Coturnix japonica: one gene and its partners. The protein of the gene in region 2 purifies or fractionates together with the protein of the main gene of each other region. This does not show direct contact. Links are inferred from orthologs where the notes say so. Each region holds a gene or a part of one and is shown on either strand. Other genes may lie near its edges.

What was found.
Region 1: the proteins of CAPZA2 (region 2) and TWF1 purify together in Homo sapiens (affinity purification with mass spectrometry; 3 studies listed by BioGRID and IntAct, with this or other methods). This does not show direct contact. The link is inferred for Coturnix japonica from reciprocal best matches to the Homo sapiens genes CAPZA2 and TWF1.
Region 3: the proteins of CAPZA2 (region 2) and WASHC5 purify together in Homo sapiens (affinity purification with mass spectrometry; 3 studies listed by BioGRID and IntAct, counting the BioPlex papers as one, with this or other methods). This does not show direct contact. The link is inferred for Coturnix japonica from reciprocal best matches to the Homo sapiens genes CAPZA2 and WASHC5.
Region 4: the proteins of CAPZA2 (region 2) and CRACD purify together in Homo sapiens (affinity purification with mass spectrometry; 3 studies listed by BioGRID and IntAct, counting the BioPlex papers as one, with this or other methods). This does not show direct contact. The link is inferred for Coturnix japonica from reciprocal best matches to the Homo sapiens genes CAPZA2 and CRACD.
Region 5: the proteins of CAPZA2 (region 2) and TNKS1BP1 purify together in Homo sapiens (affinity purification with mass spectrometry; 4 studies listed by BioGRID and IntAct, counting the BioPlex papers as one, with this or other methods). This does not show direct contact. The link is inferred for Coturnix japonica from reciprocal best matches to the Homo sapiens genes CAPZA2 and TNKS1BP1.
Region 6: the proteins of CAPZA2 (region 2) and SVIL purify together in Homo sapiens (affinity purification with mass spectrometry; 3 studies listed by BioGRID and IntAct, counting the BioPlex papers as one, with this or other methods). This does not show direct contact. The link is inferred for Coturnix japonica from reciprocal best matches to the Homo sapiens genes CAPZA2 and SVIL.
Region 7: the proteins of CAPZA2 (region 2) and KIAA1671 purify together in Homo sapiens (affinity purification with mass spectrometry; 3 studies listed by BioGRID and IntAct, counting the BioPlex papers as one, with this or other methods). This does not show direct contact. The link is inferred for Coturnix japonica from reciprocal best matches to the Homo sapiens genes CAPZA2 and KIAA1671.

The regions. Positions count from the first base shown.
Region 1 is NC_029516.1:27,259,728-27,263,178, forward strand, and holds the end of TWF1 (twinfilin-1), read right to left. Parts: coding exon 3,385-3,451; intron 2,155-3,384; coding exon 1,984-2,154; 3' UTR 762-1,983; downstream 1-761. UniProt on the Homo sapiens protein: Actin-binding protein involved in motile and morphological processes. Inhibits actin polymerization, likely by sequestering G-actin. By capping the barbed ends of filaments, it also regulates motility.
Region 2 is NC_029516.1:22,316,704-22,321,053, reverse strand, and holds part of CAPZA2 (F-actin-capping protein subunit alpha-2), read left to right. Parts: intron 1-851; coding exon 852-903; intron 904-1,565; coding exon 1,566-1,629; intron 1,630-2,187; coding exon 2,188-2,394; intron 2,395-2,884; coding exon 2,885-2,964; intron 2,965-3,904; coding exon 3,905-3,983; intron 3,984-4,350. UniProt on the Homo sapiens protein: F-actin-capping proteins bind in a Ca(2+)-independent manner to the fast growing ends of actin filaments (barbed end) thereby blocking the exchange of subunits at these ends.
Region 3 is NC_029517.1:125,011,187-125,015,494, reverse strand, and holds the end of WASHC5 (WASH complex subunit 5), read left to right. Parts: intron 1-49; coding exon 50-146; intron 147-1,052; coding exon 1,053-1,206; intron 1,207-1,452; coding exon 1,453-1,540; intron 1,541-2,924; coding exon 2,925-2,981; 3' UTR 2,982-3,298; downstream 3,299-4,308. UniProt on the Homo sapiens protein: Acts as a component of the WASH core complex that functions as a nucleation-promoting factor (NPF) at the surface of endosomes, where it recruits and activates the Arp2/3 complex to induce actin polymerization, playing a key role in the fission of tubules that serve as transport intermediates during endosome sorting.
Region 4 is NC_029519.1:58,448,918-58,452,595, reverse strand, and holds part of CRACD (cancer-related regulator of actin dynamics), read left to right. Parts: intron 1-13; coding exon 14-204; intron 205-1,044; coding exon 1,045-1,213; intron 1,214-2,699; coding exon 2,700-2,860; 3' UTR 2,861-3,678. UniProt on the Homo sapiens protein: Involved in epithelial cell integrity by acting on the maintenance of the actin cytoskeleton. Positively regulates the actin polymerization, by inhibiting the interaction of actin-capping proteins with actin.
Region 5 is NC_029520.1:7,738,658-7,743,007, reverse strand, and holds part of TNKS1BP1 (182 kDa tankyrase-1-binding protein), read left to right. Parts: intron 1-329; coding exon 330-2,449; intron 2,450-2,991; coding exon 2,992-3,325; intron 3,326-3,560; coding exon 3,561-3,693; intron 3,694-3,784; coding exon 3,785-3,924; intron 3,925-4,112; coding exon 4,113-4,279; intron 4,280-4,350.
Region 6 is NC_029517.1:13,368,048-13,372,841, forward strand, and holds the start of SVIL (supervillin), read right to left. Parts: upstream 3,117-4,794; 5' UTR 3,070-3,116; coding exon 2,997-3,069; intron 384-2,996; exon of another isoform or gene 1-383.
Region 7 is NC_029530.1:6,064,668-6,069,017, forward strand, and holds part of KIAA1671 (uncharacterized protein KIAA1671 homolog), read left to right. Parts: intron 1-711; 5' UTR 712-843; intron 844-1,347; 5' UTR 1,348-1,400; coding exon 1,401-3,010; intron 3,011-3,492; coding exon 3,493-3,589; intron 3,590-4,350.

The DNA of each region.
Region 1 (3,451 bases), about 4.9 Mb from region 2:
CAGCAGCTGAGGGCAGGAGATTAGCAGAGGATCATCAGGAGCTTCTGAATTGGGCTGATGTAGTGTATAAGATTAAATGAAGAAAGCTGAGGTGTCAGATCTCTACTGCATATTGGGGGGAAAAAAACACACAATAAAACCAGCAACTATTGCAACCTTCATATTACATAGTGCAATGTCAAATGTCAATAACAAGTCAGCATCTCCAAGTAACGTAATAACATGAGACAAAAAATTGCTTTCATCAGGAACTAGTAGTGTTTAAGCCTTATTTCCCTATGGAACTATTCTAAAATCTACCTTCCATCTGGTAAACAAATGATTTGGACACCTGTATGCAGGGATCCAAGACTTGCAACTCCCAGGTAGTTTTAAAAAAAATAATCAAAGTTACAAAGCTCAATACAGGACACTAAGAAGCAAGTCCCCATAACTCAGCCTTTAGTACTTGCCTCATTACACCATTCTGAAACATTTAAGTTCATCCAATATTTGACTTCTACATCTATTTCACAGAATCACAGAATTGTAGGGGTTGGAAGGGACCTCTAGAGATCATCGAGTCCAACCCCCTTGCCAAAGCAGGTTCCCTACACCAGGTCACACAGGTAGGCATCCAAGTGGGACTTGAATATCTCCAGAGAAGGAGACTCCACAACCCCCCTGGGCAGCCTGTTCCAGTTCTCCATCACCCTCACCGTAAAGAAGTTCTGGTGCACATTCATGCAGAACTTCCTATGTTCCAGCTTATGTCCATTTCCCCTTGTCCTGTCTTCACATACCACTGAAAAGAGACTATTTCTTCTTCAACCTCCTTCTTAAAATCATCTGTTTTTTCCTCTTCCTAACAAACAGATGGCTCGTGCTTTACTGGTGTTCAGACTATTCTGGCTGACTTCGTCATTTAGATGAGAACCAGAAAAAACAGCCAAATTCCATAAAATGCTACCAAAGTGCTTGGATCCCCTACTTGGATTTTGTTAAAGATTTAATTTACTATTAAAGTCCAAACATTTAGGAGTATTTAATTTTACAATACCTTACAAGTTTATATTGCAGTTGGTAACGCAAGAGCACCAGGATCTCAATGATAAGTCACCATTACGAAGCAAGTCTATTTCCATTTTTACTGAGCTTGCAGTTCTAGATCCAAGTGTGTAGAAAATCAATAATTTAAGAAGAAACTTTAAGCTTATTGCTTTGAAAGCAGCTCCATAATTTACTGAGTATAGAGACTGCACATTTTATCACATTTGACTTGGTCATTCAGTAATACATAAGGCTGATGAGTGGTATCAAAGTCTGGTAAAGCTGTAGTGGTCTTATGTCAGATGTCTTTAAGAGACAAACCCGCCAAATTAGCTGTAAATTCGTCATGACTGTGCTTTTGCACAGGAAGCAATTAAAATAAGCTATTCCTGAACAAGTACTCATATAAACTAACAGATAACGGATTTTAATCTTTCTAGTATAAAAACCCAAACCCAACAACTCACCACATCAACAGAACAAAACATTCTGTTGCGTTATTGTCCATAAAAACCACCAGGAAAAATAAAGATTTATCTGGGACAATGACAGCTTCAACTCTTCATACAAGTGAAATCTTGCAGATATCAGTAGGCTGCTCATAGAAATGCAGGTTCGTTATCTAAGCATAGAGCTGCTACTTACCCACAGAAAATGTGGGCTTAATAGTCTTGTCTGTGATTTGCTATTAAATAATGGATTCTAATTTAAAGCGAGAGAGTACAAGCTTAGTTTTCTGCCTTTAAAATAATTAACTGTTCCCAGTGTTGTAAAATACGGTCAACAAATATAATGGTCTAACAACACAGGAAGTATTGAGTTCAGAAGAGGGGAGAGTAGGAGGAACGTTTTTTTCCTTAGCATCTATAAATGGAATGGTTTCAGTTCATTGGCAAAAGTCAGAATTTCATTTTTCTTACTGTAAAACCCTACAATTAATTCAAACAACAGATTCTAATCACTGGGTGTTTCAGTCTCTGCCGGGCCTCTGATGAGTCTTCGTATTCCTCTCTTTCCTGCAGGACCTTTTGGTTTAGCAAAACTTTGCTTATGTGCATGTTGTTTCGGATGAACCTCTTCATAAAGAAAGTCAGCAGTTAACTCATCACCATTATCTATTTCAATCTGAAAAAAGAAAAAACAGTTACATTCAAGACATAATAAAACGCAGACATTCTGCTCTAAGAGCTATATTAAAACCCATATGTGCAGTAATACTCAGAGTCCAGCATGAAATGTTCTCAAACTTGTTTCCATTGTAAAATGCATTAAAAAAAATCACTCTTGTGAAAGCAATACGCATATATATTGTTGTCCCTTGAGAACAAAAGGGAGGAGTATAAACAACTCACGCAATTAATGAAGTACTGCAACTCAGCAAGTATTCAAGCCAGATAAAAGCTAAAACAAATTTAATTAACAGTCTGGGATTTTTCTTTGTTTGTTTTGTTTTAAATGTAAGAATGTAAACCTGAAAGAAAACACTGTTTTGAAGCCAAAGCCCAGGTTTTAATTACACAAATTCAGAGTTCAGACAAATGCTTTGGCACTGCCCTGTGGGTATTCAGCATTTCACGGCCCCCTAACTATAGCACTTGCCAGCCACTGTATTGCCATTGCAAGTACATGACTCAAAAAGAGGTCTACAGGAGTTTCAAGCACCACGTGGTATATCTGCCTCATTCTAATGAAGAAATTTCTGAGGAATGATATATAAAACCACGCAGCAATTATATCTACTCAAGTAAAAACTTCTTTCAGGTAGACACAATAATCAGAAACCAAGATTCAACATTATTCTAAACTTAGAGCAGAAGTGTTAACAGGTCATATATTTCACAGATGGACCATTACTGTGGTCTCTGCTCTGGAAGTAAGAAGCCACTTGTTCTTTATGCACAGTAGTATAATCTTTGCAGTGGAAAGATCAGCATTCTCCTAAGTCCTTAATTACCCCACCAAGGGCTCCTAAGATGCAGTTTAAGTTCCAGAACTGCTGCTTCATCTTTCTTTCATTTTGAAAATCATTACGTAATCTTGGCCTTGAGGAATTCAGAGTTCAGCAATAACAAGCTGTGATCCAAAGAACGACAGGCCTTTTAGTAAGAAATCACGTTACTTCTGAATAGTCCTTCAGAGGACTTTCAAACACTATTGCACAAGAACAGGTTTACTAAAACTATGTAGAAATCATGAAGCTCACTTCATAAGTATTTCTTGTTCGGGAGAAGCTCTTAAATAGGTCTTTAATAGCCATACAGCACCTTTAATTGTTTACAGAAAGCGGTGGCAGAAACAGTTATGGTTAGATATTAAAAAGGGAATTGAGGGACAGAGTATTCCCAGCATACTTACCTTCCTAATTATCTGCATCCACAGCTGTCTTTCTACAATTTCTAGCAGTGGACTTTTGCAACTAGAG
Region 2 (4,350 bases):
TAACAAATGGCAGGGGCTTAGATTTGTTGAGGAATGTAATGAGAGGAGGTATTTTGTTCTTCAATTAAACTATGAGTAGGTAATTAATACCTAAACTTAGCTTGTAGTGTACTTGTGAAATGAACTGCTGGTGAGCAGCTTGTCAGCCCAGATCTCTGAAAGCAAATACAATTTATGCTAAAACTGCTATAAAGCCAGTTCATAGTTACAGCTCCCGACACAGTAATGCAGCTGCGTGTTTGATGATGACACATAATAACATCATAAATGTCCATCCAAAGACTGGAGTGTTAGAGTGCTAAGTATCAAAAGCATTTACATGCAATTCAGACTTCCTCCTTGAAGAGGGGGGAGGGAGAAAAGGGAGGGAGAGATCATTAAACCTGAAATCTCCTAGTTTATTATTATTATTATTTTCAATATAGAGAAATGCTTTAGATATTATGGGATGATATATTAGTGTTGTAGAGTTAAAATAACCACTACCATCAATACTGTGCAAGAGTTTTTTGTAGTTTATCTCTTAGAAGTGAACTTATTTGGATTGTATGCTGTTTACCTCTCCAAAAACTAGTTCAACAAATTCCTCTAGCTGTCACAAAGCCTACAGGGTATGGCTTGTATCTTCTTACCAGACTGTATTGGAAGGAATCCCATTTCTGTAGTGCGTTTCTCATTTAGTTCAGTCAAAATTAGAAAATATGAAGCAAGGGGTTTTCCTGCTTAGTTACTTATATGGTATGGGATGGTTTGGGTTTTAATTGTTTTGGGTAATTTGTTGCCATTTGTTACATGACTGGAACAAATCTTTGAATTAAATATACTTCTGTGTTATAAACATCTTCTTTCAGATGTTCGGTTGCTGCTTAATAATGACAATCTTCTCAGGGAAGGAGCAGCCCAGTAAGTACCAGCTGCCATGTACTGAATTGCATAAGAGTCAGTTCAGTAAGGCTTCCCTTAGCAATAAGTGATTTAAAAAGATGCTTTTGCACATAAAACCCTGTTGTGAGTGTTGTGCATCTTTGATTAAGATACAATATTTTGTATCCTGATGAGTTAGAGTAGCTGCTTTTGAAAGGGGTGACCTGGATTTTGGAATTTGTCTCCACTTTTCTTCATTTGTTTCTCTGTTTACTGGTAGATGTTGTAGATGCTAGACCTGCAGAAGTAGGAAAGACCCTATTTTTATATGAAAACATTATGTCTAAAGTATTACATGCCAGATTTAATTTCCGCTGCCAGAATAGAGACGTTTAATTGAATAGGAAGGAACTCAGTGGAATTTACATTTTCTGTTCTTTCACTTTCTGTGGGATACTGTAAAGCTGAAGTGTCTGTCTATATGAGGTTACTTTTGAATGTGAATCATTGTGTAACGATTGGAATAGCAATATCAGTGCCAAGCGAATCAAGGTGAGCCCATATTTTAGGGCCTGCTAAATAATGAGGCAGTAATATAATTCTTTTATCTAGATAATTAACTATTGTTTAAGTCTATTATATCTACTAAAGAAAAAAGCTCATGTCTGATGCAGGTTTTTGGTATTTTTTTCCTCTTGTAGTGCATTTGCACAGTACAACTTGGACCAGTTTACTCCAGTAAAAATTGACGGTTATGACGAACAGGTATGAATACAATGACATTCCTTACATTTTTAAAGATGTTCTGGTACTGGAACATACCTTGGAAAGCAAAGGAAAAGAAATGCATCTTCTCTACTAAAATATAGTATGTATATACTATGTGTATATAGTATAATATATATGTGTTATGCCCAACAATGGTACCAGTTTAGCAAGTTAGTCTTTTAGAGCATCTAAAGAGCTTGCAATTTAATTCTGTGCTATTGTCCTGCATTCAGTTAGGCCTAATTTGGAGCTGTGGGAACTGTTTACCTGTAGTACTTGAAGCCATTATAGATAATAGAGAAGAACTTCTAATTGAGTTTTCTGTGTCAGTAAGAGGGTAGTAATGTGGATTTTGATTCTGTGTCAGTGCTTCCTGTTAGCCAGTAACATACATTAACTCCCTTAATATACACAAATAGTTTGTTTCAAATGTGACTCTGAGGAATCTTCAGTTAAGTGTGCACTGTAACGTACAATTTTACAATTTGGTGTGATATATATATTTTTTCTTCTTTGTTTGATCCTGGTACAATTAACTAAAATTTGCTAACACAGGTTTTGATAACAGAACATGGTGATTTGGGAAATGGGAAGTTTTTGGATCCCAAGAACAAGATTTCTTTTAAATTTGATCACTTGAGAAAGGAGGCTACTGATCCAAGGCCCCACGAAGTTGAAAATGCCATAGAATCCTGGAGACATTCAGTTGAAACAGCAATGAAGGCGTATGTGAAAGAACACTACCCAAACGGTGTATGCACAGTAAGTCCTAAACTATCTGACCACTGCGTGGCATAGAATTAAATTAACAATTCAAAATACTGCTCTCATTAGTGCAGCCATCCTTTATTCTATGAAAAGTGCGAGGAGAAAGAGAAGAGCAATACCAGTGGCACTGCCAAATGTATTACAGATGGCCCTGAAGACTAGGTTTTCCACCATGACAGTATGTACCATGACATACTTCCATGACAGTATGTATGCTTGAAGTTTCTAGTTGAAAAAGCAAAAACAGCAACAAAAGCCTTTGCAGTATATACAGCTTAAAATACTTGACGTCTAGATTTTTCTAATCTTACTTTTCTTCTTAATATATAATCATGTTTAATGTACTGAATGTTATATAAGAATCATACTGATTGTAAAATAGAATTTTGCAGTTAATTGGAATGTATTCTAGGACTGGATAGCGCTAGGCAGTTCGAACAGCACAGCTGAAATGTTAACTCTGCTTTTTTCATTTCTAACTAAGGTGTATGGTAAAACAATTGATGGACAGCAAACCATTATTGCATGCATAGAGAGCCATCAGTTCCAAGCAAAAAACTTTTGGTAAGTTTTTGTATGGATACAAATGCAGTGAAATACAGTGTATTGAACAACTGCGCTATTGGCATTACACTGATTATTCTAAGGTCAGAGAAGTGCATGGATACCATTTGTGGTTCCCCACCAAGCTTTTCTGTCTGTACTATAGAAATCATTGAGTGCTCTGGAATCTACACGTAGCTGTAGTAGAATTGGATCTCAGAGTATTGAAGCTTTTCTTTAAGTGCAGACAAAACAGGAATCAAGATGTGGCCACAGTACCATCCTGACACAGCTTTAATGTACCAACCTTCTAACCCACTGACCTACTAGCTGAAGTGAAAATGCCTAATTTACAGGGAAGAAATCAGGTGAAACTACAGTCTCCCCATACTGCTATTCAGATGTTTGGAACTCCTTTAAGCAATTAGGCGAGATTATTGAGTTGGTTTCTACTGGATGGAAACAAGATGCCCTGGAACAGAAATTGTAGAAGAGCTAAAAGATCTAGTTAAGAGTTTCAGCACTAGCAGACAGTCTTGCTACTTTAAGGTTCCTTCCCTTCAACATTTTGTTAGCCTTCTGTGAAGTGTGGATTTGGCTGAGTTAGCAAATTTTCCAAGTCTTGGAAAGGGAAAAAAAATGGTTATATATGTCTAGTAATAAAGAAGGAAAGAACACTAAAGCCTTTAGATATTTTCAGAAGCTAAGTCCTGTTGTTAAAAGCTCCTTACTAATGAATGTCCTTGGTCTTCTTCCAAATCCTGGGATAAGTATTCCAGGAAACTGTTCTCCTCATGACTGGTTATGGGCTGAATATTTATGATCTGAAAGATATTGTGCATGTGTAGTTCTACTGGGTATTTTGTTCTTTTCTTTTGACTGACAGTCATATATTTTGTTGGGCTTTTTTCCCCTTAACTAATGAGGTGAAATGTTGGTTTTCGATTTTTATTTTTGAAAGGAATGGCCGTTGGAGGTCGGAATGGAAGTTTACAATCTCCCCTTCGACCACTCAGGTGGCTGGCATCTTGAAAATTCAGGTATGCTTATCCTAACTGTGTCCTGATGAATGAAGTACCCAGTTATAAGGAGAGACTTAGGCCAATGTTTTAAATATTTCAAGAGAACTGGGGAGCCCAGGAAGCCAAAGAGAGAGAACAATTTAGTTACGTATTAGCTGCTTAACTGCATATTTGTGTGATCATTGCAAAGTAACGTAATGATTCTGAGGGCTTCAGAAGATGTGCTTGTCTTTAATGGGTATATACCTGTTTCAGTTTTGTGGTTATTTCCTGTACAGGGAGCCAGTAGAAACTTGAATCCCACATTACACAGAGAAGCTTTGTGAAGGGCAGCCCCTTTCTGAAGGAGGGAATTTTTTCTTCAAAAGTGCTGGTAGCTTTTTTG
Region 3 (4,308 bases), on a different chromosome or scaffold from region 2:
GAACATGTTATGGGAAACGTATGTCCTTTTTATTTTCCTCTCTCCTCAGATCTACATCACAACAAAACGCCTGCCGTATTTTCCCACTGTCAACTTCCTGTTTCTGATCTCACAGTTTCCAAAACTTCAGTACAGCAAAAATTTAGGTACTGTACGGGTTGTCCACTGTCTGAATCTAATGAAAGCCTATGTGAAACCATCTGCCAGCTCCCCATTAGCTGTGTGGTTCAGCATAGTGCGGTATGGTGTAGGATGTCCCCTTGGCCCTGTCCCTTCTCAGCTACTTGTGCCCCCCAGCTCCTTCCTGCAGGGCAGCGTGAGAAGCTGAAACATCCTTGGCTCAGTGTAAGCACTGCTCTGCAGCAACAAAAACATCGGTGCTATCAATATTATTCTCATCCTGAATACACAGCTACTACGTGGCAGCTACTAGAAGGAAAATTGACTATCTGAAAGGTGCTTACAGTGAGAGCAGGGCTGGTCTCTTCTCACTGGTGACAGGAGACAAGATGAGGGGAAATGGCCTCAAGTTGTTCCAGGGTAAGTTTAGGTTGGATATCAGGAAAAACTTCCTTACAGAAGGGGTTATTAAGCGCCAGAATAGGCTCCCCAGGGAGGTGGTTGAGTCACCATCCCTGGATGTGTTTAAAAACCATTTGGATGTGGTTCTCAGAGATATGATTGAGTGGGGGGTTGTTAGTTAGGGTACTATGGTCAGGTTGAGGATGGACTCAATGATCTTTAAGGTCTTTTCCAACCTGATTCTATCTCTATGATTCTATCCTAGCTAAAACCACGACTTAGTAAAACAAAATAAAGTGGTGCAGGAAACAACATCCAAACTTCTGCCTTTGCCATTCCACCCTATGCCTTTGTTAATGTCCCTAAGCCATTTGCTGTGAGAGAAATACAGTCGTGACGTTGGTTTTTGATTTTAGTGTGGACAGGCAGAACAGGCCCAGAAGAAAATCTTATGAAAATACATAACGCGTTCTGCCCCCAGGAATAGGCTGCTTTATAAACATGTGCTTTGGGGTTTGTTTTGTGTGCAGGCATGGTGTGCAAGCGGCCAGCTGATCAGATTGACTGGCTTCCCTTAGTTCTGGGGCTTCTCACCTTGTTGAAACAGTTCCACTCAAGGTACACGGAGCAGTTTCTGACTCTGATCGGTCAGTTCATTCGTTCAACGATGGAGCAGTGCGTCAGGTATCCACATTTCACTTTTCCTTATGTCACCTCCACTAAGGGCTTCTGCTGCTTTTTTCTTAGCGTAGTACATTCGGCGTAATAATACTGTTTGACTTGAGTCTAAGATTAAAGTGTGTCTCTTCTTGTAATGGAATCACGTGGTATGTAATGGAAAAAGTATTGTGTGAAGCTTGGCATTTTAGTAGAGTGTTACGCAGGGAGCCACGTGGTAAGATGGTGGTCTCCGTGTTTGCTTAACATTAGCCAGAAGATACCAGAGATGCCTGCTGACGTGGTGGCTGCCCTCATGTTCCTGGAGGATTACATTCGCTACACAAAACTACCAAGGAAGGTAAGAACAAATTCCCCGTCTCACTGGGTGTGCTGTCCTCACTGAGCTGCAATGTGTCTCTACGTCTGAACACAGCAGCAAGAGAAAATTCAGGGAGCTGGGGGATGCCCATAGGGGATGTTAATGGATGTGGCAGCTGATGGTAGAACAGTTTCTACACCAGCTTGAATCTGCCTGGATTCTTTTCAGACCATTCAAGTGCTATTCACTGCAAGGTTTTGTTTTTTTTCTCCCTTCATTCTTACAGGGGGCTGAAAAAAAGCTCTGATGAGGTATTCTAAATAATAGGTGTAGTTTCTGTTGGAAAGAGACTCGTACACGTTCTATATGGAGCCCTATTCTGGGGAACTAAGTTTGGTTTATGCCACAGCTGCATACCTGAAGCTGTGCCTACTTTAGAATATGGCATCATTTGTAAATGAATCTGTAAATGAACATCCAAAACGATGGGCTTGCTCGGAATGTCCAGAAGCAGCCTTTACCCTTTGTAGATGTTCTGTCAAAGAACACCAAACTAAAATAGAGATGAGAAATCTGTTACCTGACAGGAATGGCTCAAAATGGGTTTCTTTGTGTCTGTGTAACCAAGAGCTCTGTACAGCGTGTGTTACTTCTGTGCTTGGTGTAACCTATCTTGATGTTAGTCCTTGTATCTTTATGGAAACTGTATTTTTCTAGAAGATTCAGAGAGGGTGGAAAATACAGGAAGGATTTTCTGTTTTGTATGGACTGGAGGAACAGCCTGTTTCCATTCAATCTTCTCATTGCTGGGGGGCTTTCAGGAAACGAAAAGAGAAAACCAAAGTTCTCAGATGTTGTGGAATGAAATAATAACAAGTGTAGCAACACTCTGAGTCTAAGGCTGAGAGCTGTTCAGGAAGTCTGAGTCTCTGGCCCTTCGTTGCCTTGCCTTCCTTCCAAAGAAGCAGGGCTTCCTGTGCAGCTTCTGTATTTCACGTACAAGGGAAGTTCTAAAAGTCTTTGCTTGTAGAGACACTTTCTCTTGGATGCAGTGTGACTTAACGGCATTTGAAGATGCAAAAATAATTTACATATGAGATTACAAATAAGGCATAATCCGATCTGGTCGAGTCCATACCTTAGTTAAGAAAAGTTGCTGATTCCTAGCTGTACTTTGGGCTAAAAGGGAGACTCTTCCAGTCTTACCCTCATTCCCCACCTCAGCCTGGTGCTGTCTGGAACCTCTGGGCCCAACAACCTCCCGCAGCTCTGGACTTGCTCTACTTTACATGCCTGGCACGGTGCTCATTCCTTGTTCAGGTCAACAGGCTCACATGCTCAAATGGTAGATTAAGAATGCAGCATTAACGGACAAGCAGAACACATAAACGAACAGTGAACCTGACCAGCTCCTTTCCTTTAGGTCGTTGAAGCACACGTGCCCAGCTTCATATTCGATGAATTCAGGACTGGTCTATGAATATGGAGAAGGACCAAGGCTGAAAGAAGGGACTGAAGATGAGAAAAGTACAGCTTTTCCTGTGCTTTGAGACAGCTGCAGGTGCTGCCTCAACAAACTGCAACCAGCAGCCAGCCGCTGTCATTCATGCTTGTTTCAATCTTGGCATGATCTGCGCTGAATCTCATCCCTGCTCTGCACATTATAATGGTGTACGCAGTTGTTTACGTATCAATCTTTTAGTTTTTTGTTCTAAATAACTCTTTGTGGAAACTGGACTTTTGTATCGCAGATGAGCAACGCAATTGGAAATAAAGAGATTGAAATGTTTGCTGGGACTGGTGAGTCCAGTTTCCTTGTTAAAAGGATGGACTGAGCCTTTGTTATTAAGGCAGTTGTGACTGATTTCATGTTTCAGGTTGTGTTTGAGTTAACTCGGGCTGCAGCTTAATGGCGATGTAAATTACTACTGTAACTCAGTGAGCAGAAAAACCAACTGTGAGGAAACCATTAAGGAAAATGGGGGTTCACAGTTCAAACGTTCCTCCCTGGGATTTATCATTTCCAGGTTGGATGAGGCAGCCTGAACCAGGAAGGGGCCAGCAGCCCATGGCAGGAGTTGGGGCTGGGTGGGCTTTAAGCTCATTCTGACCCAACTGTAACTCCATGAAATATGTTACCAGGAGACAGAAGTGCTGTGCACAAGTAAAAGCAATCTGGGTACAAAGAAAACCACAGTAACTCAATCAACACATCCTGTTTCCACTGCCAGTTCCTGGGTTACCGCACGGCCACAGAGAAGGCCCAGCTGTCAGCTTACAGCAAACCCTTCAACACAACATGGGAACCTGGAGAGCAATGAGCCCAGACACGCCGAGGCAGTAAATCATCCCTCTTGCCCGTGGTTTGTGCCTGCAGAGGGATACATGCTGCAGTGCGATCATTGCCAGTGAGTGGCATTTCAGTCCTGCACTGGATGAAGACCGAACCTCACACACATCATAAAGCAAAGCAAGAGTTGCTCAAGGTTGAAGCACGCCCACCACATTCTCAAACAAGCAACCCAGCTCCTGCTGGGTCCTCCTCTGCAAGAGGAGCTACACCTGGGAGCCCCACATGGACATTCAGGCTCTCAGTGCTCACTCAATCAAGGCCGTATCATATGAAGTTCATAAAACATGCTGGGACCTATTGTCTGCTCTGGCACAACGCTCACAACCCACACAGGGCAGCCTGACCCACCCAGTGCTGGCAGCCATCCCTGCGCATCCCATTAACCCCCTTCCTCTTCAAACAACACCCGGCAGGAGCTCTGTACAGCTGATGAAAATCCAAGTGCGCCCTGGAA
Region 4 (3,678 bases), on a different chromosome or scaffold from region 2:
CGTTTCCTTTCAGAAAAACCAGTCCTTCTAAGCAGACACTCTTTGGATGGCTCTAAATTGATGGAAAAAGTTGAAGCTTCACAACCACTATGGATCACATTAGCGCTGCAAAAGCAGAAGGGATTTCGTGAGCAGCAAGCTACTAGGGAAGAGAGGAGACAAGCCAGAGAGGCAAAGCAAGCAGAGAAGTTGGCAAAAGAAATTGTGAGTATCTTTAGAAATACCAACGATACCATTAAAAGTATGAACTAGTTGTTAACTATGCAAAGTATTTGCACGTGCAGTTGGTTTGTAAGGCTTCATAAAAACTAAGATGATAGTGGGTAAAAAGCAGCTTTAAGGACTGGAGTTCCCTTTTGTAAACTCCAGTAGGAAGTAACGTGCAACATCGTGACAATCAGTATAAACTCTGATGCCTTAATATTGGGGGCGTGGGAGTTAATGGTAATTGTAAGCCTGCCCATTGTGCAGCTGGTGCAGCTGAATGGTATGCAACACAGTTCTTTCAAAGCCTGAGTACTGCAATGCTCATTTATAGATGAACATTCATGTCTGAATTCACTTCTATCATAATACTTGGATACCAGACAGATGAATGAAATGAACTGTCTTACAAAACCTTCAGGTGCTTACAACAGGCCATACAAGCAGTGATGCTGTATGGATGGTAAAAAGGGAAGTGGTGTGGATAACTGTATATTTTAATGTCTGTGATGAGATCTACATTTCTCACAGACAGATCCATAGTCAGAGACATATACAGCAGTGGGTGTGAAGTCGCCCTGTTCTTCTGTGCTCTGTGTAACAGGTAGGGTGGTTCATACTGTTCAATATTTTGACTGAAGTGACACATTGAAAAAGTTAATTCTTTTATGAGCTTTAATAACCATCATTTCTAGAAGTATCAGAGCATTTGGATCCTTTGCATGAAAGGAAAGCAGAGGAAAGGACAAGCAATGAATGAAAGAATCAAGTGCGACACCTCTTACTTGTGGTTGCCTTGTGACAGACTGTTTCTCATTTACCACTTTTCCTCTGTTCTAGGCTGCTGTAAATAATCAATCAGATAATAAAAGCGGCAGCAGCAGCAAAACGAGCACACTGCAGAAATCTACAACCCAAGAAGGGGAGAAGAAAATTGAGACGGCTGTGTCAAGACTAGAACGAAGGGAGCAGCTGAAGAAGTCTAACACCCTTCCAACTTCTGTGACAGGTACAGATTCACCTTTGCTCTAGCAATAATACAGTTTTACGAGTGGTATTGCATGTTTTTGAGAAGGCCAATGATTTTATTCCTCTCTTCCCCCTACTATTACAAACGCATTTGTGTTCAGCACAACTCGCTGCAGTCTCATAAGCTGCCAGCACATGGTTTTAACTTGGTGTTCCAAGTTAATCTGAGGCAATTCTGAAAATCTTGTATAACTTAAAAATAAAAAGACCAATAAATGAGGCTCTTTCCCCATACCATATGCAACAAGTGTTCCTGGAACAAGACTGGTGAGCTTAAGGGAACATGATTTGCTATAAATTGCAACTGTAGAATTGTTTTGCCTCTACTTTGAGGGTTTGCTCCAGTGCAAGTGGTGCTGAGCCCCTACAAAACGCATCTGTGTGGCAGATAAAGCACATCACGTTCTTGTATGAGTACTCATTTCATGCCAAAATACAAACACCAATTAAATGAAATTGAGGGTATTGAGGGATTGTCATTTTGAATTTAGGATTTGTCTCTCTCAGCCAAGTACCTGGTTTGAACAGCTGGAACCAGAAAAAACTTACTCCTTTACTCATCACTTAGATAAACTGAAAAAATTGTGCATTCAAAAACAGATACATGAAATCCCATGACCTTTGGGAAGTAACTGTTGCAATGTTAGTTCTAGGCAAAAGGTTTTGGAGAGGAGTACAGATAGGTAAAGATTAAACCTTTTTATAAGCTACGCTGTAAATAATGAGGGCTTCTCTGAAGGTAAATAGAGGAATCAGCTGAATTTCAGGAGGAAAATCACTGATTTTGAATTTTCCTAAAGGGAAAGTGTAGAACTGTGCTGGTCGTAAAGGAAATAATGACTGGATATCCATATGATCACTGTCTACGGTTGGAGTCAGGCAGCCATTATCAACAGCACAAATATAATATAAGCCAGTATGTCTATGCTATGAATGGTAATGCACTGGTTTGGGTTTCCCACAGTGAGTAGGGTAGTATAAGCAGAAGACCAGGCTAGAAAATGTTTAAAATAGGTTTGCTGAATTCTCTTCTAATGTCTTAAAGTAAATAAATAAATTATAGTAATTGAAAAATGTGATCTATTTCAGGCTTGCACTTGAATCTTCTGCAACAGGATCTGCTAAAGAGAGTATAGCTTTTAAAATAGCATAAACTACTGCAACCTTTCAAATTATTGGCTTTCAGTGTCTGCCTACAGCAGTAGCTGCAATTTGAAAACTTTAAAATATTCAGAATGTGAAAATGCATCTAAAAGTAATTTGGACTGAGAACATTTAACAAAGCTTCTGAAAAAGGAAATTCTGCTCCTTCGTCATCTGATTATTTTGCATATAAGTAAGATTTAACTATAATAGAGTTGGAAATGAGTATTTTGTTAAATCAGAACAACTTAATAGAAATGAATTCTCTGAAATTCTCCCAACAGAGTTCAACTGAAACTTGTTTTGTTTCCTCCTCCCCACAGTGGAAATTTCAGATTCTGTTCCACCAACACCACTGGCAAAAGAGGTGGCCAAGAGATTCTCCACACCTGATGCAAACCCTGTGTCAACAGAACCAGCCTGGCTTGCACTGGCTAAGAGGAAAGCAAAAGCCTGGAGTGACTGTCCACAGATCATAAAGTAAACTGTAAAATGGCATCTCTATTGCTGCCTATTAACTGCTTTCTTTTTATTTATTCAGCTTTTAAACACATGACAAAACTGAAAATGCATGTATCGGAGGACTGGAAACTGAACCGATTACCATTTTGCTCTAGCTCACTGTAAAGCCTATTCAAGTCCATATATTCCATTGCTTTGACAAATAGCTAAGTGAGGTCACAAGAAATTTCAGAGCCAGTCTCTCTAAAAATTCAAGAATGCTCAAATACTGGATGAAAATTTTAGCCAGTATCATAACAAGGGGCAGAACTTCAGCAGCTCCTTAAATTCTCTTGAATTTGGTTCTGGAATTTTAGATCTCTGCAGTTAAGTGGAGATTTCAGGAAAGTTTTTCAACAGTCCTCTGTTGAAAATGAATGCAAGATGCATGTTCCCTTCTCTTACTTCTAAATTTTCTTAAGTGTTAAGCTGTATGAACTGTCAGTAGTTCTACCTGCTATTTAAAAGCGTCTTACCTAATGAAGAATGTTGGTAGACTTCTATCCACCTGCAAATGATAAATAAGGTGGTACCATTCAAATGCTGAGCTATCATGGGATTATTGTGTTAATATCCCCCTAGTCCTAAGAAGAAAACAATTCATCCAACTTCATAAAAAAATTACTCATTATGCTGAAGTCAGCAAGTTTTCAGCAAGAAGCCTCTACTCTGCAACTACCTGAAAGGAGGTGGCAGCAAGGAATGTCACACTCTTTCTCCTCAGGTGACGAGTGGTAGGATGTGACAAAGCAGTCTCACAGTGCACTGGGGAGGCTTTGCTTGGATTTTTAGATAGGATTT
Region 5 (4,350 bases), on a different chromosome or scaffold from region 2:
CCTGCGGGGAGAACTGGGGTGGGGCTGGGAGCCGCGTGTGCGCTGGAGAACCATGGCTGGCGAGTCAGAGACCATGGCCATCCTCCGGAGGCTGCTGGCCAACCTGGAGCTGCGGGATGAGCTGGGGAGGGCTCAAAGTGCTGCAGGGTGGGAAAGGCCCTGGGCAGGCACGGTGGCTGTAAGTACAGGTAGCTCGTGAAGCTGGGGGGGATGAGCAGTTGGGACCTGGCCTTCCTTTGGAGAGGAGTATTGTTGGATATCCCCCAACCCTTTTCAGATTATCCTCTGCAGTGTTTCTCTAACTCTTTCTCCTCTGTTTGACTCTCCAGGGTCTGCTTGGCTGGTCACGGAAGGACCTGTGCAGTGAATTCGGTATTGGGAGATCTCATCAGGCTGGTGCTTTTGACTGGAGCCATAAGGCTGTGGCCAGACAGGGGGACTGGCCTGGTGAGATGGAGCAGGATCAAAAGTTCAGGACCAACTCAAGCAGGAACAACAGTTGTGGCATCAGTGATATGAACCAGCAGGATAGAGCCTTTGGTGCTGCTGAGAGGGACTGGAGCAGCAATTACAAAGGGACAGAACTGATGGGTGATACGAGGCTTGGCAGCAGTGACTGGTCCAAATCTCACGGTGCGAGGGAAAGCTGCCTGCAGGATCAAGACTTCAGCAAACCTACATGGGGTACTGGGTATGGCTTGGACAGTGCAGGCAGCAGAGAGGAGGTCAGCTCCGGGAAGGCTGAATGGGGCAGTCCCTACAGTGTGGGACATGGCCAGCAGCAGGACAAAGAGCTGAGCTCCAGACAGCCTGGCTGGGCTGGCAAGTATGGCTCTGGGGACCTGGAGGCCCATGGTGAGGATGCTTCACCTGTGTGGTCTACTGAGTATGGAACCGGTGATGCAGACATCAAGGACAGGGAGGTCACCCCTAGTGACTGGGCCAGTAAATACAGTAGCAGGGATGCTGAGACCAAGGACAAGGATTTTACTCTAGGCTGGGCTGGCAGATCCAGCACTGGGGACGCTGGGACCCCGGACAAGGAGTTCTGCTCCAGCAGATCAGCCTGGGACAGCAAATACAGTACCAGAGACATGGACAGCCAGGACAGGGAATTCAGCCCCAGCAGACCAGCCTGGTCTGGTGAATACAGCACCCAAGACATGGAGAGCCAAGACAGAGAGTTCAGCCCCAGCAGACCGGCTGAGGCCAGCGAATACAGCAGCAGGGACATGGAGATCCAGGACAGGGAGTTCAGCCCCAGCAGGCCAGCCTGTGCTGAAGAACACAGTACCAGTGATATGGAGAGCCAGGATGGGGAGTTCAGCACCAGCAGACCTACCTGGCACAGTGAGTACAGCAGCAGGGACATGGAGAGCCAGGACAGGGAGTTCAGCCCCAGCAGACCAGCCTGCACTGATGAATACAGCACCAGCAACACAGAGACCCAGGACAGGGATCTCAATCCCAGCAGACTCACCTGGCACAGTGAGTACAGCAGCAGGGACATGGAGAGCCAGGACAGGGAGTTCAGCCCCAGCAGACCAGCGTGTACTGATGAATACAGCACCAGGGATATGGAAACCCAGGACAGGGAGTTCAGCCCCAGCAGACTGGCTGAAGCCAGTGAATACAGCACCAGAGATGTGGAGACCCAAGACAGGGAGCTCAAATCCAACAAACCAGCCTGGGATGATGGATACATCACCAAGAACATGGAGAGCCAGGACAGGGAGTTCGGCCCCAGCAGGTCAGTCTGGGCCAGCGATTATGGCTCTGTGAACACCACAAAGGGAGAGTTTAGTTCTAGCAGGCTGAGCTGGGCTGGTGAATGCAGCATTGGCCAGACTGAACTGGCTAATGCTTTTGGTGTTGGAAAAGACTTGCCTGGCTTGTGTGCCCCCAGTCGCCCAGGCCATGAGTCCAGCTGGGGCAGCACTGACCAGTCGGAGAGTGGCACCAAGGACTGGGCTGAAGAGCTGCGCCTTGGAGGAGCTGAACACCAAAATCAGTTTGGCATCATTGGGACAGAGCGAGTGTCAGATTCCTCCAGCACTGCAGTGTCAGCGGACAGCCTGATGTCCTGGGCAGACAAGATGAGGTCTGAGGTCCCGCAAGAGTCCCGGCAGCCCCTGGAAGACTGGCACAGTGATCTCTCCTTCAGCACCTCAGGTGTTACTGGTAAAGCTGATGAGGGTGAACCAAACCAAATGGCCTGGGATGAGGGCCTGACAGCTGTGGGCAGCTCTGCCCAGCCCCAGCAGGCCAAGGTGGAGGAACCAGGCTGGAGCCAGGACCTAGAGGAAGCTGGCTGGAGTGAGGAGCTGCGTGAGGCTGAGGCCAGGCGCCAAGAGTGGGCCAGTGCCTTTGGGGCCCGCTGTGCCGCCAGAAGCCAGGACTTCAGTGCTGGGGAGCAGAGCCTGGGAGGTGATGACGGTTCAGCAGACAGGTAAGGAGGGTCTGGGTGGTGGAGATGGAGTCTGGGAGGTGCTAGCATTCCCTTGGCCTCCTGAGAAATTGGCAGAATGAGCCCCGTGCCTTTATCTTACCAAGATCTGGGGAACCCCACGCTCTAATTTCAGCCATACTTGAGCTGGGGATTTCCAAAATGATACATTTCCAGAAGCTGCTGGAATGTAAGGATGCCAGGAGGACAAAGGCAAAACTCCTGCTGGCCTGGATAAGGCCTCAGCCTTGTTCACATGCTGTGGTGTGATTCTCTGCTGGTCTTAAGGGAAACTTCCCAGAAGTGCCACCTGTTGGTGTGCATCTCATTTGGCCTTTGGCAGTTGACATCCCAAAGTAGGGGGAGAGTCCCAGACACCTGGGTTTTGTCTCGGGCTCACCCACATTCACAGGAACAGTGTTTGGCCTTCCCTGTGCCTTAGTTTCCCCTGAAGGCTGACAAAGGGAAATTGGGAGAGATTTGGGGCTGGGGAAGGGCTTGCTTGCTGGGGCTGGAAGAACTGTGTCTTCTTGTCTTCCTACCAGGAGCCCTGAAAACATCCATCTCTCAGACTCCAGCCCACCACTGGGTGATGATGCTGTGGCTGAGCCTGCAGCTGCTGAGCCCCTCTGGGGTGAATCGGCTGCCCCGCTGCCGAGAACAGATCCCATGGAGCAACAGGACCTTCCTGAGCTGGCTGCTGCCCCTTTGCCACCAGAGGCTGCTGGTGAGACTCTAGAAACAGTGAGCGAAGAGACCCCTTCGGACCACCCAGATGGGAAGAGACCGGTGAGCTGGGAAGAAAAGAGGCTCTCTGCAAGTGCCTCGCAGCCCGAGGGACTTCTGGACCTCTCTGGTCAGGATTTCACCTTTCTTGAGGTGAGTGGGGAAGAGGGAGCTTCTGACTCCCTCCTACAGCCCTAAGGGAGCCCGGTGGTCAGGGGGATGCAGAGAGAGGCTGCAGATGCAAGGCCACTGTATACTGTAGGAAGGCAGTCACCATAAGGGATCCATAGAAAGCAGTGGAATGGATGAGTGGGTGGATGGAGTGGATGGAGTGGAGACCCTGAAACTCCTCTGTGCTGGGCACTGAGCTGTCCCTTGGGCTTTGCAGGACACGGAGGTTCTGGACAGTACCATGTACCGCAGCAAGGCCAACCTGGGCCGCAAACGGAGGCACCGAGCACCTGTTCTCCGCCTTGGGGCCACTTCAGAAGGGGACAGTTGGATCTTCCAGGACTCCACAGGTGAGAGCCTGCAGGACAGTGAAAACAATAGGATAGTGGGATGGGGTGTTGTGCTCTTAAAGATGTCTCACAGTGATGCTCTCCCCCACAGAGCCCCGTCCAGCCCGTGCAGCAGCATCCTCTGATGAGGAGGCAGCAGAAGAACCCAAGAGCCGGCGGGTGCGAGCATCCCCATCGGGCAAGGGTGTCAAGGTGCCACTCTTCCCTGGCCTTACCACATCTGCCCTCAAGGTAAGGCCTGCTGGAACTCCAGGCAAGCAGATGAAAGGGACATGATTTCTAAAGGGTGGGCAGCAACAGGCAGGCTGAAGGACAGTCCAAGTCAGGCAGCATGGAGAAAGAGGGAGAGGATGCAGTAGAAGGATGTGAGGATGGTAGGGGGTGAGAGCACTGTGTACCCATGTGACTTCATCTCCCAGGCCAAGCTGAGAGGTCGAAACCGCTCTGTCGAGGAAGGAGCATCACCAATGGACAGCAAGGCAACTCCCACAAAGGATCCCCATGTACAGCGCTCCAAATCCTGCAAGATCCCTGGCCTGAGTGGGAAACCCCTGGTGCTGCCCCCTAAGCCTGAGAAGTCTTCAGGGTGAGTGCTGGGCTCAAGGGACAGTTGTGACGATGCTGGGTGGATGTGCCAGGTCAGGTGTTGGTGTGGGA
Region 6 (4,794 bases), on a different chromosome or scaffold from region 2:
TCCTTTCCAAAGGACTAATGCTCACCGCTAATAAAACGGAAAAGTGACTTCACAAAGTTACCAGATATCAACATGCAAGGCTGGCGAGTACATGTGCAGTCAAGATGATTCAGATAAGTCAGATAAATTTAGAACAACGCTTTCCTAAAAGCACGCGTTCACCAAATGCAGTGCACACGCAGGAGCTATATTCCAAGCGCTGATTCCAAACATCAGAACAAAAAATTTATTAGTGAAAATCTCCTTTTAAGAGTTCGCTGCCATCTGAAGTCCTCGACAATGTTACTCCTCGATCTGCCTTTAGTACTTCCATCCATCACTGGATTTATCCACATAAAAAGCTATAGGCTCTCCAACCTCGGAGGACTAAGCCAAATGCAGTGTGGCAACTTCGCATAGGACCGGCCTTTTATGGTTGGAACAGTAGAGCTTTGATACAGCTAATCTACCATAAATAGCTCTTGAAACTCAGAAGGATCAAATCAGCTGTTGCAACAGTCCCAGCCTGTAGCTGCTTCAAATCCAATTATACTGTCAGCTCTGTCTTGCAGCTTTCCTTTTTATTCCCCCCATCCACAACTTTTAAAGTCCCGCTCCTACAAGAAATTAAATGCTGCAGGGACAAACGTGACAGAATAAAACATGTTTCATAAAAACAGAAACAAACCAGCATGTATTTTTATAGTCCTCTTAAGGAGAAAAGGTTTTGCTGTATTAGAAACATCTTCAGCATTTATTGCCAGTAATTTTTTTAAATCAGCCCCAACTCGTAATGCAAACATACAGTCTGAAGTAAGCAAACAGTACCAAGAACAGTCGGCTCAGCCTTAAAGGTGGGTAAAAATAAGCAGATAAAACTTCATGGCGCCCTATCCATGGCCCAGATTAAGGTACTGAATTGCTTGCATATTTTTATCGTAACTTAAACACAACTGCAAAGCACCAGAAGTCACTGCTAAACCCTTATGTTACAGTGTTTCCTTTCTAGTATTTTGAACCATTTTCCCACCAAGAAGCTCAGGACTATAATTTCAGAACTCTTCAACACCTGGGTGCTTCCAAAATGAGTTCTTGCTAACAATGTAAGTCAAGAGAACCATGAAAAGCACCCCGAGGGCTGCCAGAGCCCTGCGACCCCGAGCACTCGGTGCAGTGGCACTGTGCTGAAAGGAGACACCCTTTGGATCCGGGGGAGGGCAGATGAGCAGTGTTATCTTTATGGTTCACTTCACGGTGCAAAGCAGCAGCACACAAGTACGTAAGGATACATAAACAACAGATGTATTTTTAAGTTTCCATGTACATGTTGTTTAGAAGAAGATGGTTTCAAGAATGCAGCATGCTGCTTGTGCTTATTTGTCTGGNCCTCAGTCTTTCCAAAACAAAGAGTTAAATTACTCCAGTACAGTGCAGGAACTCCAGGACTCCGAAGGAGATGATGTACCCTGTTCACAAAGTCTGAATCTGTTATTTGCTGGGACCTCTTTCAACCTGCACATTGCCTCCTGTAATAGCAGGAGCAACGTCTAGCACCGACATTGGTTCTTCTTGCTCAAGGCAGAGAGAAGAGCATTACTAACTCCCAGTGCTCAAACTGCTTTAGGAAGGGCCAGAAATATGGATCCTCTAGAAGCTAATCAAAGTGACCAAATAAAACATAAAAAATAGGTCCATCGTGGAAAAGTCTGTACCCCTTTGTCAGCTATATGCTACCTCACTCCTCACTGAGTTTCTGTTTATCGTATTATCTCAATTAAAGGGCTTGGGCTTTGCAAAGTATGCAACATACATCGAAGACAGGAGTCACTGCCTTCAATACTGTCTGCAGTGACAGTGGATGACAAAGTAACTTCAATTAAGTGTGAGTGGGTTAAATGAAGAGGTTTGTTGTTTCCTTCAAACAGTGCATGGAGAGCCCAGCTTTGTCACTTTGAGCAAGTCTCAGAAAAGTCAGTTGGATGTGGGCGCAGTTTCCCTTTAGGCCCTAGCAAGTGCCCAAACAAATTAATTCAGACGTACAGGGGACAGAGAGCTTTTCATTAGCATGGACTAAACTGAGCATGTGACAAGTAGATTGAACAGACCTGCAAGATGTGCCTGAATAAGTTCATCACTCTGAATGCTGCCTGTAGGACTTGTCACATTGTGCTGCTTCTGCACACTGCTGGAAAAGTAGCTGAACCAATTGCTGACAAAAGTTCAACAGAGCTCTTAGAATGCAGCAAGCATGCTTGCAACTGGTAAGAGAAAGAGCAATCGTCAGCACACTGCCAGAACACAAGTGCTGGCACTTTATGCCCTACCCATAACCATTTAACATCTTAGAACCTTTTTTTGCTGAGGAATTTAAAGGATGCGAGCTATGATATGGAAACACAGCCCCCTCCTCAAGGAGGACAACTGGGATTCCTTGTTTCTTTTAGACATACCACCCTATATCTTACTGCTGGCATTCATCCTCCCTATCACACAGGGTATTATGTTAAAGATTTCACTTCCATGGTAAATTAAAAAATAATAATAAAAATCCTGCATGTGCTCTTTTCACACATATTTCCTGAGCTATAAACATACAAAACAGAACTGATCGTCATGAGAATGCAGCACTTTCTTCCCCTTCCTCCCCAGCACAAGATTTCTGTAAGCACAAAGTAAAACAAGCTACTGACAGCACATTAGTTTGTCTCTAGCTCTTTACAGAAAGTGTAAAATCTGACTTGTATCATACAAAAATGATACTACTCCACAGGCCACAATGAAGACAGATGGAGGAGTGAATAAACACAACTTTGGTACCATGGTCTTGGGGTTATGTGCTTCTGTGACTAACAGTCAAGAAAAACCACACAGTAGAGTGCACACAGCTTAAAGTAGGCACGTCTTTATTTAACATTCAGCTTCCTAATTTACAACTGTCTTTTTTGCAGCTGGGGACAAGAGGGAAAGGCGAGATTTCCCAGAAAAATCAAAGACAAATTTAATAACAAGTGACTTACCAGCATCCATTGTTAGAATCATGACCCCACTTCTGCGTCCCAGGAAGCAGGAAGCCTTACCCATCCAGTGCATGCGAATGACTCAGAAGGACTGCATGGCTTTGTTTCAGCTTATATCTTCCAGCTCATTCACCCCTCCTCCCCCGTGTGGGATAAAAGTGATGCCTGTGCCTGACCACCCCCATTGGCTCAGTTCAGAAGCCACTCATTCAGCACATTCAAATTGCCGTGAGAGCCTAAAATGACCCACTGAGAAATTCTTATTTATCTTTTTTCAACCCAACCCACTTTTTGTTCCTCTGAGAGAACAAGCCATTCATTGTTTCACTATCAGACACATGCCGCAGTTGGCGTGATTGTCACGGGGCCAAACAAGTGCCTGTGCTCTGAACTGGGAGCGGTGGGCAGCAGAAAGGCATCCCCCAGCCCCAGTTCCATGGCTGTGGAAATAAGGACATACGTTTTATGCCACAGCCTGTGCCCTCCAGGCAGTTTCTCTTCAATGCAAACTACATACACCCGCAGTCTGAGGATCCCTGGTTTGCCAGGGAGGATTTACTCATCCATTTTATTTTTAAATAGGAGGATAGCTGTCTTACCAAAGGTGCACACCCAAACTCTATAGGTTAAACTCTGCAGTAAGGAAAGAGTTTTTTATGTTTGTTTTTTGTGTTTTTTTTGTTTGTTTGATTGTTTGTTTTTTAATCTGTAGGGCTTCTTAAATATAATAGCTGGTATGAGCTCAGCTCTGCCCAAAGAATTTAGAAAGCTGTTACAATCTATCTGTTAACCACCACCCCAGTTAGATAATATAGTCTTAAAAAAAAACAAACCATAACACAACATAAATGCAACTCTATCTGATTAAGAGACATCTCCTTCCTTTGTTAACTTTGATTGTACAATAAGAGAGACTAAAAAACACACACGGAAGGAGAGAAAGTGGAGGACATTTGTCTCTATGCCACACAATCCTCAAGAACTTACTGTGCAGCTGTGAAAGGCGAGTTCCTGCATCTCACAGTATGAGGTGTTGACAGACACGGTATCTGCACTTAGAGATTCAACAAACACAGTGAATGAAACACTGGTGTTCTTCATCTTTTGATAAGAACTACGTTTTCCAAATAAAGCATGGACATATTAGGCTGCCATTTCATCACGCTGCTCACCACTAGATAACCTCAGATTCATAACTATGATACAACCACAAGTGTATTTTGGAAGTGTTGCTTGTGCTTGTTGAAATAAACACAGCTCCCTCTCCTCCCCTCCTGTTTTTAGAACAGGTATCAGTTGCAAGTCTCACACACTAATGTTTGCAAGGCAGCAGTGAATTTAGAATCCACAGTTCAAAGGAATTAGCAAAAGCACAATAATTGAGTCATCACTTCCCACATTTCTTGACCTTCCCTTGCTCTGCACAGCTCCACACCAACAGTCTGGGGGAAACAAAATACTCCTAAACATGAAGATTTCTGATGTTTTCAGGGGTACACTGCAAGAAAAGTTTTGAAAAGAGACATGGGTAATCCAGATCATAGAAAACAAGCCCTAAACCTTTGCTTCTTGATCTCTATTCACTGAATTTCTCAGGTAGACAGACTGCTCCCCAAAAACATTCTACGGGTTTCTGTTTTCAGAAGGAATGTTTGAGTAGCAAAACAGTGGTTCCATCCAAAGTTCACAGCTCTCAAATTGTTCTTTTGTTGACCATAATCAATAACCAAGGACATGTGGCAACAATCCGTGCCACGTGCAGAGATGCATGCTGAACTTCTGGGAATGGCATAAGGCA
Region 7 (4,350 bases), on a different chromosome or scaffold from region 2:
CGATAAGCTGATTGGGTTGGGGGCTATTTTGGAAAGAAGAGGTTGCAGACTGGAGGGGTTTGGGGTGAGTGGTTGGGAAAGCAGTTTGAGTGCATTGGGAGGTGAAGGGGCCTGGCAAGGTGAGCTGGAGGGGAGGCTGCTGCTGCTGGTTTTCCTTCATCTCTGCAGTAAGAATGTGATTAAAGGCAGAGCTAATCTCCTGCCTTTATCGGGGAGGTGTAGGAAAAACTGCTTTGTCACTGTAGAAGCTGTGTTTATGTTGAAAATGGGCCATTTGAAGGTCAGCCTGCAGGTAGGCCTTCCCAATAATGTTGTCGCAGAAAGGAGATTTACAATAGAAAGTAAATTACAGTAATTGAGATTACGGTAACACAGAGCTCAGTGTTTAGCCAGTGGTTGACAGCACTTGAATTTGCAAATGGTACTCATTGAAATGTGGATTTAACTGTGTTTGCGTTTAATAACTATTGTGCTGACCAAATTATTTACCCTTCACAGTTGCAGGTGATTCAGGTGGTAATTTCTTGTTGATTCTTTAATAACTGAAAACTACACATTCACTTAATCCATATGGTTAAATCTGGTGCCTTTGTTTCCGAGCAGGAGCCAGTTTTTTGCCTTGAAATACTCTGTATTTTTGTCTCCAGTGGTATTACCTGTGTAGATCTGATTGCGTGCCATGCCACACTCTGAATGTTCTCTGATTTGCAGGGAAGGTCTGATCTGTGCTGCTGAAGTGACCCCTTTCCCTGGTTCTTAGTGTGATCTTGGCAAACTCCACTTTTCACTATGAGAAGTGAGTGGGCTCAGATCCATCAGCTGCAGCAGAACATGCACATCACGGTGAGTAGCAGCAAGGCTTTTGGAAATGCATGGGATATGTGTTTGTTTCTGTTTAGCTGCAGGTCGTAGCTAATAAATAAGTTTCAGTCATGCTGACCTCCATATTTTTGGTAGTGTGAAAGGATATACTTGCCAACTATGTGTATTGTGAAAAGGAGTGGGGTTTGTACGTTGACATGGGGAAGCCTGCTTTAGAAATAAATGATCCTTTTAAAGCAATTTAACCCATGAAATTTGCTTGAGTATTGATAACTTGGTGCTGTACAGATGGGTTTGTAGGTTTTGCTATGTTTTTTGTTGGGCCTAGCTGATGAATCATGGTGTGTTTTGCTGTTTGGTTTTTTTTTCTTCCTAAGAGAAATAAGCTTTTTGTTCTGTGATGCACCTGCACATTTGAAACACACCTTAATTTGAGCTTAGCTACCTCCCGAACTCAAGTTAGAATTAATTTGTTGGATGTTTGTACCGACTCTACAGCAATGCTTGTGTTTTCTTTCCTTGTAGGTTCTCCTTCTCTGTTGGATTTTTTCAGTTCTGTTGAATGTATAATTACAACTATGGCAACAAGAGTTGAGATAAACTCTACTTTGGCGTCTTTGACGACTGTGCCTGACTTAAATGAGATCAGAACTGAAGATAAATCACAGCGAGTGTATGTAAGTGTGCTCTCAGATGTAAGCAGCAAAGCAAAGGAGCCTTCAGCATCGCTAACGCTTGAAGAGAAGAGCAAATTTGGGAGCACTCTGAGATCTGCAACAATGCCGTCGCTGGGATCAAGGCCAAGACTCTTCCCCAAACCTTTTTCTAAAGATACGCCTTCAGATACTTTTGCAAATGTAAAACCACCTATTACGTCTTTTAGAACAAGCAGTCTTATTAGAAAGCCTTCTGAAGAAACCACGTCTGCCAAGGTATCAGCTGGAAATGTTCCTCCGTTAGTAGATCAAAAAGTCATTGGAAATGAGAGCAAGGCTGGTGGTGAAGTCGTCACAAACATGACTTTCTATAGTGGTCACAATACAAATACTGTCATTCTTTTTGAGACAGCAGGCACGGAGCAGTCAAAGGTAAGCCTGGCCCAAGGAAAAAGGGCTGCTGATGACCACAGGGTGTTGAGTACTATACAGACAAAAGAGTCTCAGAGCAATGTGAAGCAGGAGAAACCATCTCAACCATCACATGAGACATCCAGGAGTCCTGAAGGGTCTCTTCACAGGCAGATATTGCTTTCCTCCAGTGTTCGACCAGTCTCTTGGAACTCCCTCAAAACTGGAGAAAAGAAAGATGCTCCTGAAGATCGTTCAGTGGAGAAAACCAACACTGATGCAAATAACATAAACAATAAAGTGGGTATCTCTCTTGATGTGCAGCAAAGGCCAAAACCTAGACCAGTATCTGCTGTTTTTCTGGAATCTTTGAGAGATCAAACGCATCGTACTGTGGAAGCTTCAGAGGAAAAGTCTCCTACGGAGAAATCGTGGGTTAGGAAACCAAGGCCTTTGTCTATGGACCTGACGGCTAAATTTGAACTTAAAGACCTCTCTACGAGCAAGAAGGCTTGCTCATCCCATGAGAGCAAGGAGACTGTATCAGTAACTTCTTTTACTGACGTGGGCAGCCATGGTCAGTCTGAAACGGGGCCAAAAACTGAAGAAATTGAATTTAATAAAGGCAGCTCTTCAAAAACAAATTTGAAATGCAGTAGTCAGGAGATTAGCATCCTAAATAAAGGAAAACACACGTGGGAAACAAAGCAGAAATCTGAAAGCGAGCAAACTGAGACAAAACCAAGCATAGTGACTAATTTGTATAGTTCTGAGAGAGCCTTTGAAAGTGCCGGTGAAAGCAGAACAAACAGGGAAGGGAAGAGGTTGGATCAAAAGGAAACGTGTGTGTTTCTCAGCTGTGAAAGCCCTGCAGCTTCCTCAGAGAAGGAGAACAGCATCGTAAGAGGTAGTGTTAAGAAACACATCAGTTTGTTCACGTCAGAAAATCCTGGTGCCTCTGTAGATACAGAGACTCTCCCATCGGCTGCTGAGAGGGAAAACAAGTGCGTGAACATCCAGCAGAGAATCAAAGAACTTACAACAGAAAGCACTGATGCTAAGCCAGGAAATCTTCGTAGATCGCTTCAATCTCGACCTCTTTCTGCAGACCTGACAAAGATGTAGGTTTCAGAAATATTCTGCTCAATTCTCTTGACTTCATTGACTTCCATAATTCAAGGTCAGGCAGGACCAGGCTCTGAGCAGCCTGATTTGGATGTCCCTGTGCATTGCAGGAGGTGGGACTGGGTGACCTTTGAGGTTCCCTTCCAGCATTGGAATGAAAATATTATTACTGAGGCATGAGAATGTTAATAACTTTTTTAAAAAACTATTTTACATTATCATGAATTACAAAAATCTTATGCTATACCATAAGCTACATTGCTGCCTGAAAAATTGTTAGTCCTTTGGTCTAGATGCAGTAAAACCACTGAATACCATTAGTTGTGACACTTAATAGCAGTGTTTCCTCCCTAGGAAGTATACTTTCTGGGTGATTTCTTTTTGGGACAAGATGATGTATCATCAGTCTGCTTTGGTAGAAAGTGTAAATGTTAACCATCTGGATCTGAAAGAACTGAATGAAGCTTTTTTGCCTTAGGTTTTCAAGTCCAACATCATCGACCAGTGAAGTAAAGCCTGAGAAAGCTGCTGAAGTGAGGAACAACTCTGGGAGCGAAATGCAAGAACATCAAAAAGTAAGAAAATGGCATTGGCCGATATAGGCTCTAGTTAGGCTTGCCTTTGGAGTGTAAGGAGCCCTATACTATGCATCCGGTGCATCTTAACCAGTCAGTGACTTTAAAATGGGCATCAGGAGTATTAAGAATGGCATAATCCTAATAGGTTTACTTGTGTAAGTCTATCTTTAGACACTGGATGGGGACGCGCTGCTGAAGTAAGGGAGGATGGTGTTGAGCTTTTAAAAAGTTAAATGTGCGTGCTGTTAAAGGCATGCAGTGGTATGAAGTGAAACATATTGTGTACTGCTTTAATGGAACTTTTAGTGTATACAGACAACGGCTGTTGTTGTTCCATGTAGCAATTAGCCTTCATTTTCTGTAAGGATAGCATGAATTTCCACATCTGAGTCACAATTCCTTATGACGTGCTGCGTGTTTCTTATCAGTCTCCTAAATCATGTTTAGTTTAGCAGTTTTGACCATTGAATACTGTATAGGTCAGTGCTATAAAGGCTGTTTGACTGTCCTCGTTTCTAAGGAACGCTCTGGTATTTCAAAGCAGCTTCTCTGCTGACACTTCATAGCACTGGAGATTTAATGTTATTTTGAGGATGTTTCTTGTGAGTTCTTATGGTTGTGTGTTGTTTTTTTCCTGTGTAGGTTTAAGACATGAGTGTGCATGATAGAGAAACTCACAGCTTGATTAAAAAATCTCCGTAGATTAATTTCCTTTTAAAGGAGATAAATTTGCTTTAAAAGGAAAATCTTCCATTAAC